Linked DNA regions of Diceros bicornis minor. The main gene of each other region encodes a partner of the protein of the gene in region 2 in a complex. Links are inferred from orthologs where the notes say so. Each region holds a gene or a part of one and is shown on either strand. Other genes may lie near its edges.

Region 1 (7,328 bases), on a different chromosome or scaffold from region 2:
GGGGGCGGTGGGCTTGCACTGTGAGGAGATCTATAAGGTGGTGAGGCCAGGCGGGGCCTGCTGTGCAGTTAGAGCTCTGAACTGTGGTGGTCTTCAGATCCACCAGAGTCCAGCACCGGACTGGGGCAAGCTGCCCTGCTCCCCCACACCCCTCACTGCCCCCGGATGTCTGCTGCCTTCTGCCCCTTGCATCTGCTTCACGCTCCGGGAGAGTAGGAGGCACGGGGGGCCTCCTCCACAAGGAGAGCCCCCCTCTTTCTGCCTCCTCTCCTTTCTTGCTCACCGTGTGCAAGCCCCTCCAGCCCTAGGCCCCAGGGGCTCAGGTGGGGGGCTGCTTGCCTCGGATTTGCTGGCACGGTGTCTCCTTGGGGCTCACCCCAGGCCACCTCTGGGCCAAATGATGTGTTTTCAATTGCACACCGACCCTCAGCCCCGTGAGACTGAGGGGGCTGGTCTGGCTGCGCTGTGCCCACATACAGCGCCTGCCGGGGAGAGGTGCTGGGCACCGAGGGAAGGATGAGCAGCGGGGGCCGTCGCCTGAGGGCCCGGCCCTTGCCCCTGTCCTGTCCTGGGGCAGCAGGAGCGGGGTGCTGGTGCACCCTGGGGCCGCATGTGGGAAGGAGTACTGGAGGGGACAGGGCTAGTCACGGCTGCTTCTGGGCCCAAGAGCCAGGCCGACTGGGGGTTCACGGGGCTCAGGGCAGACGGGGCTGGCCAGCTCCCAGCAAGTGGGCTGACCCTCCGGGGGACCCCATTGGAGGGGTCTGGCGTTCTGAAACACCCCACGCTCTGGCCTCCGGCTCCACAGTCTCAGCAGGCGAGTACCCCTCAGGGGCAGGTGTGTCCCTCAGATCCTTCCACCCTGTTCTTTGGAAACCTGGCCCTAACCACAGTCTGCTTTTCTCCTCCAGCCCGGCTGCGGCAGCCACTGAGAAGAAGGCGGTGACGCCGGCTCCTCCCATCAAGAGGTGGGAGCTCTCCCGTGACCAGCCTTACCTGTGACTGTGCCCTGGGACACCTGGCCGGGCCCTCAGTGCCACCGGGGTGCTTCCCCTCCTTGGATTCCCTTTGGGGAGACTGACCTAATTTATGCCGATTATATGGAGCTGCAGTATGGCTTCCGTTGTTCCTTTTGAAGCGACACCCGCTTGCTTGGACTTTGGGGTGAAGTGGGTGAGAATCTTCTGACTCCAGCAGCGCTCTAGGGGCGGGGGAGGGGTAGTGTTCTGGGGGTCCAGGGTGCCATGCTGCCACTGGGCACAGAGTCAGGTGACATGGTGCGGGGGGGCCCAGACATGTCACTGGTCCTTCTCCGAGGGCCTGGCTCTGTCCCCGAGAGTGGTGGGGTGGCTCCAGGACCCCTGGGTGTTTGTGAGCACCGACTGTGAAGGACGCGGGCCAAACACAAACTGCTCACTTGGCCTCTGGATCTCAAGAGCTCCCCAGGCCATCACTTGTGTGGACATGGGCCAGTGCCCTCCCACCGCGACCCCCCAGCCCGCCCCGATCCTGGACCCCCGCAGCTCAGCGGGGAAGGCAGGACAGCGAGGCGGCGCCCAGGGAAGGCTCACCTAGGGCAGGTCAGGAAAGGCTCCCTGAGCCAGAGACCTCTGTGCTTGGGCCTGGGGGCGGTGAGGCCCCTGGTCCCTGTGGGGGAATGAGGGGAGCAAAAGCTGAACAGGAAGTAGCCCAAGGCTGGCTGCAGGAGCCACGCAGTGACTTCAAGTGGGAGAGTGCCCCTGGGAAGAACCTGCAACCCTCAGTAGGTGAGGAGGATCAGCCGTGTGCCCGGAGCCTGGTGAGACGGCCCTGCCCTGTGGCAGCCTAGAGCAGGGCAGGAAAAGGTCACAGTCCCCAGCAGGAGTTATGAGTGCCCCAGAGTGGGAGAGACAAATGCTAAAAGCTCATCCAAGGGGCTGAAGCCCCTGGGAAGGCTTCCTGGCGGATGTGGGATTCTGGTTGGGGCCAAGGATGAATCCCATTGAGAAAGAAGGTCAGCAGGGAGAGGGAGGCGGGGCAGGGTGTGCAGAGGCCACAAGGAGGGCAACCCGGAGGGCTTTGAAAAACCCAGGGCAAGGCGGGTCACTGCAAGTTTCCCAATAAATTTGCATGACCCAGACTTGAAATTGGGCGTGGGAGTGGAGGAGGGGAGAGGTCTGATGCCTGAGCTCCTCGCGGTGCCAGGCACCTTCTGAAGCCTTTCTCTGCGTGATCCCGGCTCCTGGAGCAATCCTGCCAGGTCATCGCTGGGGTCACAGCCCCTCGACAGAAGAACCGAGGCGTGAAGAGACCGAGAACTGCCTCAGGCTCGCTGAGAGCTGGCCCCGAACGGGGGGGGGGGGGGGGGGGGGGCATGAGTCTGCGCTCCACTCCCGCAAAGGCACAGCTGCTCCCGCTCTTGTCCCGCGCCCCATGCCTCCCTCACCGAGATGGCGAGGCTCGAAGGCGGCTGCTCCCCTGCCCTGCCCTGGGCAGTCGCGTCTGCCATCCTTGTCATCCTCCTCCGCATCTGTGCACCCTCGCGTCTTACCTCATTTCCCCTGGAAATAGGGAGAGAGGCTGATTTAAACAATTACATGTATATATGCTCCAAAAGCAGCTGAAACCTCCAGCGTTTTGAAATAGCATGCCATCAACCTGTAAATGCAACTCCTTCTGGGAAGATCTGGACGCTTTAGTGTGGCATCACGGAAAACTGGGATTGGTGAACACTCCCACGCCTGTCTTAACGCTGGGGGACGGTAACTTGTCTGGGGTCCTGCTGGCAGTTGGACGCGCTGCTTCTCCGGAAGGCAGAGCTGTCGATAAGCTCTTTATTTCCAAGAAGAAAACACTGAGGTCAGATTGGCTGGAAAGTCTGCAGCAGGTTTGTAATTTATGTGCCTACTGGGTGAGCGGGAGAAGAGAAACCCCAAGGGCTGCCTTTGCATATCTTGTTCCCGAAGTAAAAAATGATACCCACCTCCCTATGAGGAGTCTAGAAGGACTAAGTGAGGCAGGGAGCGAGGGCGCGCGCATCCAGGTGGGAGGGATGGAGGACCCAGGATGGAAGCCAGGAACCGGAGGATTCTTACATTTACACACAGCATCTATTTTTTTTGTGTGTGAGCAAGATCAGCCCTGAGCTAACATCCATGCCAATCCTTCTCCTTTTTTTCCCCTTTTTCTCCTCAAAGCCCCAGTAGATAGTTGTATGTCATAGATGCACATAGTTGCACATCCTTCCAGTTGCTGTATGTGGGATGCCCCCTAAGCATGGCCAGACAAGAGGTGTGTCGGTGCGCGCGGGGATCCGGACCCAGGGCCGCCCGAAGCGGAGCGCGCACCGGGCCGCCCCTACTCACCAAATCTTTAAGAGCCTACTGGGCGGGCCCGGTGGCTTAGCGGTTAAGTGTGCGCGCTCCGCTGCTGGCGGCGCGGGCCCGGATCCCGGACGCCACCGACGCACCACTTCTCCGGCCATGCTGAGGCTGCATCCCACATACAGCAACTAGAATGAGGTGCAGCTATGACATACAACAATCTACTAGGGCTTTGGGGGAGAAAAATAAATAAAATAAAATCTTAAAAAGAAAAAAAGAGCCTACTATGTGTCAGGCACTGTTCCCGGCTTTGGAGACACAACGAGGAACACAGCATTCCTTCCCTCCTGGAGCTGACATTCTAGTGGGGAATCAGACACTAAACAAAAATTAGTAAATATATAATCTGTCCAGGGCACAGAAGGCGCAGGAGGAGGGAGGGCTGGGGCACGCCTGAGAGGAGTGGCGCCATATTCAATAGGATAATTAGGCAGTGACTTTTGCTGCCGGATGCAAGTGGAAAGTTAAATATTGTGAGAAGCCACCCACAAGTTCGTGTACATCCCCACAAGTTTCTAACTTCAAATGGGCCCCAGAGCCTTCGCTATGCCTTGTGGGTGGGGAGAGCGGGGTGAGTGTGAAATCGCTGCGCCCCTCGTATTCGACCCTTTACGGTAGCCCTGGCCGCGGACGCCGCGGGTCCTGGTGCCTGGGCCCCGCCCCCCGGGCTGCGCGTGCGCGTGCGCGGGGATAAGAGCGGGCCGGTGGCGCGATGGGGGCGGTGCGCCGAGCGGCTGATGGCGGGGGGCGGGGCGCGGCGAGCAGCGGCTCTGGGCCTGGCGCTGCGGCTGCTGCTCGGCCTCGGGCTGGGCCTGGACGCCGCCCCGGCCGCGACCCGACCCTCGGCCCAGGCCCCAGGTGAGTGAGCTCCGCGCGCCCTCCCCGCGCGCCAGCAGCGCCCGGCCATTGGCTGCGGCGAGTCGCGGACACTCCCCCGCACGTGGCCCGACGGCCCCGCGTGCCGCCCCGACCCGGGACCCTCGGCCCGGGTGGCTCTGCCCGCCTTGCTCCGCCCTGCTCGCCCCGCACAGCCGCTCTGCTTGTCGTGCCCTGTTGTCGCCCCCACGCCGCCCTTCAGCCCAGCGTGGCGGGAGGGCGCGCTGCAGGCGCTGGTTGTGCCCCGTCTGATCGTGCATGGCCGGGCACCCGGCGCCTCCCGCAGCAGCGCGCCTTCCAAACCCGCGCGCCCCAGCCCGTGTGGCTGCGTTTCCTGGCGACCACCCCCCGCGCTGCCAATCTCTGCACCTTCCTCCTCTGGCCTTAGAGAACGGCCTTAAAGAACGAGAGGGCTCTCTCCCTCCCTGTGACCCCAGAGCCGCGGACGCGTTTTCCCTAAGTCCCCCTGACCCTCTCTGAGGTTCCCAGAGGCAGCTGGGCGCGTTACAGGGATCTCCCGGTGCGCACTGTGAGCTCGGGTTCAGGCTCACCCCGCTCCTCCGTGGGTTCCTGTCTGCTGTGGTCCCTGCCTGACCCCGAAGCCCCTGCCTTTTCGGGCCGGATGTGCCTGTTTCCTCCAAGGAGGCAGGACTCACGTTAACCAGTTCCAAACTTTTTACACGCAAGCAGTCTTCTGTCCTCAGGACACTGAGGTGGGGCCTCCTAGGGTGCCCGTTTTACAGGTGAGGAACCTGAGGCCGGCAGGGGAGTCAGTGGTGCCTCCAACTCCTGTCCGACCCCCCAGCCCCATGAGGCCAGGTCTGCTCTGCTCTGCCGCCCGCTTTGCAGAGGGACGCACGCTCCAGCAGCCAGGGAGGGAGGTCAAAGTTTGTCAGTGCAGAGAGCGGCTAGGGCTGGAGAGGAAGCCGGCTAGGGCTGGAGAGGAAGCCGTGCCAGCGGCGGCCAGACCCCCGGGGGCCTGGAGGGAAGGCGGATCCCGGATTTCCACAGCTTTTCCGGGCTCCCTGAGCTCGGGGACTGTGTGGCCCGCAGGTACAGTTGGGCCTGGAGCCCTGCGGAGGGGCTGGCTGTGCGGAGTGGGGGTTTTGGAGGCTCAGGGCCCTGGGAGTAAAGGTGAAAGGGGCCAGAGGCCCAGGACTGAAGGGAGTGAGGCTAGGCTGGGGCCAAGCCAGATGGTGGCCACCTGCCCTGGTTCACCCAGGAGGAGACCCTCAAGGCCACTCCCTTCCTCTGCCCCTCAGACTCCTGCCTGCTGGCCCAGCTTCCAGGCCCTTCTGTGCTCCGGGGTCCAGGAAGTCTCAGATCTCATCTGGACTCAGCCTGGACCCTTGTGTGACCTGTGTCCGCTTGCTGTCAGGCACGGCCCTGGGCTTGTGGTCACCAGGTCATTGCTCTGACCTCCACTGAGCGCCTAGTCTACGCGGGTACCAGTTTAAGGACCATTGGGTCCATTGTTATAAGCGGGAGGCAGAGCTTCAGGGGTCTCAGAGAAGGGCATGAGACCCCTCCCAGGAAAGAAGCTGAGATCTGAAGGCTGAGGAGGAAATCAGCAGGTGCAGAGTTGGGGGAGGAAAGGGCAGTGTGAGCCAGGGAGCAGCATGGGCCAAGGCCCTGAGGTGGAAACGAGCCAGGCCTCTTGGAGAAGCAGCAAGGAAGTCAGGCCAAGGGCCTGATGAAGAGGAAGAGTGGGGGAGGAGGTGAGGTCCAGGAAGGGCTCAGGGCTGGACCACACAGAGGAGGTAGGGTTGGTTGTGAGAGGGTCGGGGACCAGGGGACAGTTTTGAGCAGAGGGGAGGCGCGGGTGGGTGACGGAATAGTGCGACTCTGAGAGGTCTCCAGTGTCCGACAGGAGATGGTGGAGGTGGCACGTTCAGGGTGGGAAAATGATCGGATCTGGGAGGAACTTAGGAGTTGAGTCGACAAGGCTTGGTGACTAAGCAGGTCCTCTTCCCAGGGCCTCAGTTTCCCCTTTGCTAAGCAGGAAGGATATGACAGCCCTGCTGACCCTGCCGCTGGGCCTGATCCAGAGCAGGTTCTGTTTAACCCAGAAGGGTCTTGGAGGGACTTCTGGGGAGGTCATCTGGCCATTTGGAGCCTGGTAAAGGCTGGAGGATCGGCGAGACCTGGGTTGCAACCCGGCCTCTGCCACTGGCTCTGCAGCCTCTGGCCTTCCCTCTCCTCAGTGTCTTTTGTAGAGTGTGGATCGCAGTAGAACCTGCCCCACAGGGCTCGTGGTGAGGCTGTGACGCGCGCAGCTCCAGCCCCACACAGAGTAGGTCCTCAGCAAAGGGTCCCTGGAACCCGCCCTGTCTCCACGAGGTGGAGCCTGTGACCATTGCTCCTGGGGGAGGGTGCAGACTCGGCCTCACTTGTGCGCGTCTCGCAGGCCCCAGCGCAGGCTCGTGCCCGCCCACCAGCTTCCAGTGCCGCACCAGTGGCTTCTGCGTGCCCCTCGCCTGGCGCTGCGACGGTGACGCGGACTGCGCTGACGGCAGCGACGAGCAGGAGTGCAGTGAGTGGCCGCGTCCCGGGGGCGGGGCTTGCAGGGGGCGGGGCCAGAGGGAGGTGGGGTGGCTGCGGAATGGGTGTGGCTTCAGGCAGCGCCCACTGGGGCGGGGTCTGGGGTGGGCGGGGCTTGCAAGGAGGGAAGCTGGGATTGAAGCTTGAGGAGCTGTGGGTTTACAGGGAGGCGGAGTAGTGGGGTCTTGGCAGGAGGGGCTTACAGGGAGGCCTGTGCTTGGAAGGTGGAGCTAACGGAAGCGGGGCGGAGCCATTATGGTCGGCGGCACTTATAGGGTCTACTCTTCGTGGAAGGCGGGCCTTGCGTGGGGCTGGGCGGTGGGAGAACCCTGGCCCTCTTGGGTGGGCGTATGGGACCTGACTGACCCTCTGCCCTAGGGATGGAGCCTTGTGCCCAGGATGGGGGGTGCCCGCCACCCTCTGGCAGCCCCTGCTCTTGTGACAGCATCGATGACTGCGCCAATGGCATCGACCAGAACCTTCAGAACTGCAGCCACCAGCCCTGTCCCGCCGGGGAGCTCCGCTGCCCACTGGGCGGTGCCTGCATCC
Region 2 (7,162 bases):
GGGCCTTCCTTCCCCAAGGAAGGAAGGGCACCAAAGAAGTGGGGTGTACAGAGTGGTTATATACCATCAAAGAGCATGTATCACATATGATTGGAATGTCCCTTTTACAACAGTCATGAGATTGCCTAGCCTGCCTAACTGGCACAGCGATTCACACAGCAATTGATGAACACAGCAGGTAGCAGGTCTGTGGTCTCCAGCTGAATGGTCACAGCAGGTCAGCAATCAATCCCTAGCCTAGAGAGAGAGATGCTTATCCTTAAGGAAATGCTGATGTGAGGGAAGTTACTTTATCTTAACGGCATTTGTTCTTGTCTTTTTGACATAGTAAATGCTTAAAGCAGATATACAATGCATGTTCAAAGACCACGTCTGGCCCTTTTGGAAAAACAAGGTCTGGCCGAATTAGTTTTACACCAAAAGGCTTCCTCATATACTCCAATATATCCTATTGCTTGCCATTTATTTATCAACAGCAAAGCACAGTGGACCCACCAGAGTCCTGTTCCTTTGGAAACTACAAAGTTAAGATAGGCCTGGAATGTTGAGTCCAGAAACTCCTTATCTGAGGCTGCTTCTCTGTGACAAGTTTGTTACCAAACCAGTTTGTTTTTGCCCATCACCCAGAAAGACAAACACCGAGACAACGAGATTGCAGAGAGAGAGGGTTTAATCACAAGGCAGCCAAGTGAAGAAAACGGGAGAACAAGTTTCAAATCTGCCTCCTTGAAAATAGGGACTCAGAGTTATTTATGGGGTCGGGGGCAAGGGGGTCTGAAATGTGGAGATAGATGATTGGAGGTGAGGAGAGGTGAGGTAACTGATGATCTGCACAAGCTTAGTCAGACTTCATGCCTCTTCGTAGGACGCATGTTCGCAAAATGGCGATGTTGGCATGACCCGAGGGTGGAATTTTTAGCCTCTTGACGTTGAAAGATCACTTATCAGACATCTGCATGGTCCCAGTATGTGTTGGTGGTCTCAACTGGCCTGAAGTGGACAAGGGGTTCTAATTCCTGAAAACAGCTCAAACATCCATTACCATGGTGACCCAGGCTTCAAGGAGATGTTATCTATAGGAACCTAGTGGGAGTCAGACAGCATATTGCCTAAACAGCACAGTTAACAAGGGGTGGGGGAACAAGTAAAAGCTACAATCAGTAATTGCAAAAAGGAAAAAAACTCTAGTTCTTAGCTCCCTAATCATCAATGGCTAACTGTTTGCTGGTTTCACGGTGACTTAGCACCTCCCAGGAATGTTTCATTCTTACTAGAATAATTTCAAACAGCAAATTTCTGCTAGTTTGTGATTTTAGGGGGAAAAAAAGAAATCTCAGTAAAAAAGTAATAGTCCCTCAAAGAACATGGCTATTAGGACACTTTACAGCTGCAACATGACCTTGGGAGAAATAGTATTTCCTGTTAACCTTGTGGCTCGCTTTATCCTTGCCTGTCCTGATGCATGGACAGGCAGACTTCTACTTACTCATCGCAAGCTAATTTTTACTTTCTCAGCTAAAGTCTCCCAAGTAGAAATCTCAAACCAAAAGCTTTAGTCATCTTTCTTTTTTACTTTCCTTGACTGTGTGGGGGATCAGAATTGGCCACCCCAAAATGTGTTTCTTTGGCTTGATTATTTTTAAGAACAAAAGACTTTGAAAGAAACTTTGAACCCCCTCCACCCCCAATTGCCTAAAAGTATTTAAAATAGAAGGGCCTGTTCCAGGAAGGAGCTAATACCATAAGATAACTGTAATGTAATGTAAAATGTGTCTCTCAGGTCACATTGTCTATAGTTGGCCCGTTTGCATTTCCATCTCCATGTAAATTCTCTTCCTCCCCCTTGAAGCCCCAAACCACTACCCCCAACACCCTCCTCTGTCTTTAGCTAAAAATGATATTTAAGGTGGTGACCTCAGCCATTCTGGAGAGGTGCTCAGTTTTCCTGGGTCTCTCCCATGTATACATGTTATAAAGCTTTTTTTGATTTTCTCCTGTTATTCTGTTGAAGGGGAGGAAGACTATCCTTTACCCACTCTGGGGCCTTTCTGGCTGGGCTACAAATTAAATTGACATGAGACCGACTAGCAGGAGAAAATCAAACAAAGTTTAATAACATGTACACATGGGAGAAACCAGGGAAATCGAGTTTCTCAACAAAATGGTGGAGGTTCTCTTCTTAAATAGATTTAAGTAAAGACAAAGAAGGATGTTGGGGGTGGGGGAGTCAGTTATGGGCAATTACCAGAAAAGCACAGTAAGGTTATTATGCAGCCTCACCTTCCTCATTGATAAGTTTCTAGAGATGAGGTCATCCCCCCACTTCCCAGTACAGAGAGGGAGATACCTTTACACATGGAGATTTCCCTTACAAATATAAACGTTTGGTAAAGAGAATTTTGATAAGACTGGGCTTAGCAAAAACCCTCCCAGTCTGTTGCTTTTAGGCATAAGTTTGGGAGAAGGTCAAAGTTTTTTTCAGAGAAAATAATCAAGGTAAAAAGACATATTTTGAGGTGGCCAATTTTTTTTTTCTTTTTTGTGAGGACTAGCCCTGAGCTAACATCCGATGCCAATCTTCCCCTTTTTTCTTGAGGAAGATTGGCCCTGGGCTAACATCCGTGCCCATCTTCCTCTACGTTATATGGGACACCGCCACAGCATGGCTTAACAAGTGGTGTGTCGGTGTGCGCCCAGGATCCAAACCTGCGAACCCCGGGCCGCCACAGTGGAGCGCGTGCACTTAACCGCTGTGCCACCGGGCCGGCCCCGAGGTGGCCAATTTTGATCTCCCACACTGCCTCATGTCAATTTAATTCTTAGGCCAGCCACAAGGACCTAGAGTGGGTAGAGGAATTGTCTTCCTCCCCTACAACTGCATTACCTAAAACAGCCCAGCTCCACCCCCAATCAGCCACTCTATTTCTAATAGCTTTGGGAAATGCACGTCTTCCCTGTTGGGACGGTGAGTCCAAGCCAGCAGGCAGGGGGCTATCTGTTTCCCTCACTGTGGTACCCTCGAGTCCTCAGGTATCAGAGGTGACTATCCTGAAAGAAACTGCTTCTCACCAGAGGCCAGGCTATGGGGAGTCCCTCCACCATGGCCGCCTCCTCCAGTCTGCCCTCCTGGAAGTGACAGGAACCAGAATCACCACCACCTACCACAGGCAGAGGGTTGGGGGGCTGGGGCAGTCCTGTCTCTGACCAAGGTGGCTCCATTGCACACAAATTGCCCTTGGAGATTCGAACCTGAGAATCTGCAGAAGTTGGGCTTCCAGCTAGCCTCCTTCCTTCCCCGGAACCTCACCCTGATGGGCCACACCCAGCCTTCCTGCACTGGACAATCTAATTTTAAATTCTGTAAGCAGATGCACACCTCTGTATTTATCTATGTCAAGAGCTTGACTTGTGATAAGTCAGGCGCAAAAACAAATTATCTTGAAAGAACGAAACTTGGCAATTTGCCAGAAAATGATTTCAATAAAAATCTTATTTGGAAATGACTAGAGGCGTTTTAAGGTAATAACATTTGCACGAGTTGAGCTGGAAGGGAGCTTAGCTAGAATGATCTTATCCAACTCTCTCACCTCACACATGAGAACCTATTTCAAACTCAGAGAGGTTAAGCAACCTGGTAAAGGTCACACAGCGCCCCAGAGTTAACTCTTGTACCCTGATTTCCTTGTGGGGCTGGGCAGATGAGGAATCCTTTGTTCTCTCTCCTCCTTGCAGAGGTTTTTTAGGTCACTTTCCTAGTCCTGACAAGTAGCCTTGCTACAGGTGGCTTTGTGTCTCAAATGATTAAATCTCGTTCCTTAATATGTTTTGTTTTGTCTCCAGGAGGCCCTCAGCTTTCCAGATGATTGAGAAAACTGGCCTGTCTGTTCTGGGTCCAGCTGCCCCGCCTCCCTGGGCGGGCAGGCAGAGAACAGCTGACAACAGCAGTCTCGCTCACGTGACAATAGGAGCTCCCCGTTCTGCTCCCTGTCCCACGCCAGGGTGGGCACTTCGAGGGGTTCCTTCTGTGAGAGGCACCAGGTAGGCACCCCCGCACTGCCCATCCACCACTGGAACAGCTGGGGGGATACCAGACAGGCGCAATCAGACAGACTTGGACAGATCAGATGGCAGGCCTTCTGCGCTGGTCCAGGGCTCTTTAGGCAGTGGGAACAGCATGTGGCCGGCCTCAGATGTCTCACACCATCCCTACCTGCCCTCCTCTCCCCCTGCCCCCTACCTCCAGGAAGCCTGCTCTGCTCTTCCTTCCTCTGTTCTTTGGACTTCCTTCCCCTTTTTCTCTGCTGACTTAGCAGCGTGCCAGGCGTGCAGAGATTAATCAGTGACAGGAAGGTGCCTCTTTCGGAGTAGTGACGGACTGTGGTCAGGAGACCCTCTGCAAGCCCAGCCCCAGGAGCCTGTCCCATTTCCTGCCTGCTGCTCACCCACCTGCTCCTGCCATGGGGCGACTCATGGTCCTGCTCTTCCTGCTGGGGAGCCCGGGGGCTCTCGCTGAGATCTGCGGTGAGTAACTTGATCTGCCCTGTTTCTCTTTCCTCCTGGGTCCTTAGGAGGGAGGGCCATCTTGTCCAAGCCTCTGACTGTTTACCTGCGGAAACAGGCTCAGATGTGTGGGGGGTGCGACGGATCTGCCTCTCTGGGCTCCCACAGCAGTTTGGGCATGGCTGGACTTCAGCGTTTAGCACATTGTATCAAGATTAATTATATGTCTGACTCCCCACCAGACACGATTTCCTCCATTAATTCAGTCATTTGTACGTTTATTCATCCAACACACATTGATTAAGGCTTCTCTGTGCCAGGTGCTGTGTTAGGCTTTGGGGAAAGAACAAAGAGCGAGACAGGTCCAGCCCCTGCCCTCCTAGAGCTCCATTCTAGTGAAGGGGACAGATCAAAGAAGTTAAGAGGCATATTGGGGCTGTTTGGGTCTGTGGTGTGTGCCAAAGGAAGCCAGCCAGGTGCAGAGAGAGAGAGCCAGGCGGCCACTGATTCGGGGAGAGAGGTCGGGAGAGATTTCCAAGGACTAGGGGGCAACGTGGGAACTGAGACCCAAAGGAGGAAAGGAGCTGACAAGGAAGGGCATGGGGGAGAGGTATCGAAGGCAGAGGGAGGTGAGTGTGTGGAGACCCTGGTGGGAGGGGATCCTGAGAGGGGCGGGCGGGTCCTGGCAAGGCATTTGTGCTACGTGTATTCCAAGCACAGGGGACTGGCTGCCTGGCTCTGTGTCCCAGGCCCAGGCCCCCGGGCGCCTCTTGGGACTTGTCTATGAGTCTGAGCACACAGGTTTGGGGCTACTTGTGCACCGGAGCCTGGCGGAAAGCAGAAGGCAGGAAGGGAATCCTCCCAGGGCCGCCCACAGCTCTTCTTCCCTCCTCAAACTCTGCCCACAGCATTAGGCTCTGCTTTCGCCACCAGGATATCTCTTGATCCTTGGAGAAACCGAGAGGCAGGGACAGTCATGTCCAGGTGACACATGAAGAAGTCAAAGGTCAGAGGGCCCAGGTGACCTGCCCAAGGTGCTCCAGCTTTCCAGGGCTTTGCCAGACTCAGTTCTCAGCACTCCAGGCCAGGGTCTCCCCTGGGCACCAGAAGCCTCCGGCCTGGGTTCCACAAGTGCAACCAGACTTCTGAGCCCTGGGCCCTTGGTTCTGGTCCAGAGAGTCCCCAGGGGAGACCTGGGATCCGGTCCTTACCCTTGCTGGGCATGAACCTTTCAACAGTTGGCTCATAGGACTGACCCCACAAGAGCCCTGGACTTTTTGGGAGTGCAGCCTGCTGCTGCTGAGCCACTTAGGCCCTCTGAGCCTCATTCCCTCACCTGTATAATGGGCTGAAAATGCTCCCTTGCCTTTCTCCTCGGTGTGATGCAAGCATCCCATGGCACCCGCTCTGTGAGCTTAAAGCTCCGTGTGGCTGTGACATTAACAGAGATGCTGGACTGGTGCTGGTGCAGGGCGGGCTCCTGCACTTCCAAATGTCAATGCCAGTCAATCCTCCATTGGCAGAGCTGGGCGGTCCTGTGAGCAGGGCCCCACTGGGGAGAGACCTCACCCAGGGCCACTTTTATTATCCTGAGTGAATCTGCCTGGCTCCTTCCTTCTAAGGAGGCTGCATTGTGGTTCTCAGCCTCTCTTTACAGATGGAGCTTCTCTTCTTATCACTTCTAATCTCAGGGCTGACTCACTGGCTGGAGGTCAGAGCCCAGGGTGGGGGCAGGGCTCCCTCACCACTTTGAAGAAAAGAGAGAGAGGAAAGAGAGGTGCAGAGGGACAGGTGCCCAGAGAGACGGGCTGAAAGATGTAGAGACTAAGACAGATCCAGAGAAAGAGGGAAATCCCTATAGAAATGGAAGCAGAGACACAGAAAGGAGTTGAGAGAGAGAAAGGGAAAGAAAAGTAACTCTCCTCCACCCTCATCTCGCACAGCAACAGATACCTGTGACTTTTGGGAAACAGGCATAAGATGGTGGGATCCAAACAGGGAGAGAGGGGGCTCTGTGGGCGGAACCCTGGTCCTCTTGCCCCGCAGCCCAAGATGCGTGAAACACTCTGCGCGTGGTTTCTCTTTGCTCGTCCTCTGAAAGGGGCGGCCTGCCCAGCATCCTGGGACAGTACACAGTGCAGGCAGCTGGATCCCTGCAGCAGCTGGGAGGCAGTAAATAGGGAAAAGTCCAAAGTACCTCCAAGGCCACCCACACAGTTCAGGTCCCTTCCCTAAGGGAGGCAGGCGCCAGTCAGCTGGAGCTGGGAAACATCCCTGAAGCTTCTACTTCCTAGGTATTTCTGTATTTTGGTTACACAATTTCAGGTAAATCCCAAAGCACACAGAAAAATGGTTGCAAATGATGATGGCTTGCTAACAATACACCTTACCATCTCAAGTCCTCTCCACCTACACAGAGGTGGCCAGAAAAGTGTTATTTTGAGATCTGCACAGAGGAAGTTCACTAGGCAGTCCCAGTTAGCCAGTGGGCAGTCTGTTTTAAAATTGAATGTGGGGGGCCAGCCCAGTGGCGTAGTGGTTAAGTTCACACACTCTGTTTAGGCAGCCTGGAGTTTGTGGGTTCGGGTCTCGGGTGTGGACCTACAGACCGCTCATCAAGCCATCCTGTGGCGGTGTCCCACGTACAAAATAGAGGAAGATT

What was found. Proteins that work in one complex are often made in the same cells at the same time.
Region 1: the proteins of TCN2 (region 2) and CD320 antigen-like are in contact, whole or in part, in a crystal structure (PDB 7QBF), measured with the Homo sapiens proteins. The link is inferred for Diceros bicornis minor from reciprocal best matches to the Homo sapiens genes TCN2 and CD320. Residues at the interface, in NP_000346.2 of Homo sapiens: Asp70, Leu71, His74, Lys77, Leu78, Gln81, Gln82, Glu91, Asp92, Arg120, Gly121, His122, Lys123, Asp125, Arg126, Val128, Ser129, Lys132, Trp133, Glu136, Arg140, Lys169, Arg170, His172; in NP_057663.1 of Homo sapiens: Thr57, Lys58, Leu66, Cys67, Val68, Pro69, Trp72, Asp75, Arg76, Asp77, Leu78, Asp79, Leu133, Glu136, Cys145, Ile146, Pro147, Thr149, Trp150, Asp153, Gly154, His155, Pro156, Asp157, Cys158, Pro159.

The regions. Positions count from the first base shown.
Region 1 is NW_026691615.1:374,524-381,851, forward strand, and holds the start of CD320 antigen-like, read left to right. Parts: upstream 1-4,094; 5' UTR 4,095-4,099; coding exon 4,100-4,220; intron 4,221-6,645; coding exon 6,646-6,771; intron 6,772-7,157; coding exon 7,158-7,328. Other genes in the region: NDUFA7 (NADH dehydrogenase [ubiquinone] 1 alpha subcomplex subunit 7), read left to right, coding at 912-1,002. UniProt on the Homo sapiens protein: Receptor for transcobalamin saturated with cobalamin (TCbl). Plays an important role in cobalamin uptake. Plasma membrane protein that is expressed on follicular dendritic cells (FDC) and mediates interaction with germinal center B cells.
Region 2 is NC_080774.1:24,152,531-24,159,692, forward strand, and holds the start of TCN2 (transcobalamin-2), read left to right. Parts: upstream 1-3,949; 5' UTR 3,950-4,038; intron 4,039-4,243; exon of another isoform or gene 4,244-4,310; 5' UTR 4,311-4,457; coding exon 4,458-4,521; intron 4,522-7,162. UniProt on the Homo sapiens protein: Primary vitamin B12-binding and transport protein. Delivers cobalamin to cells.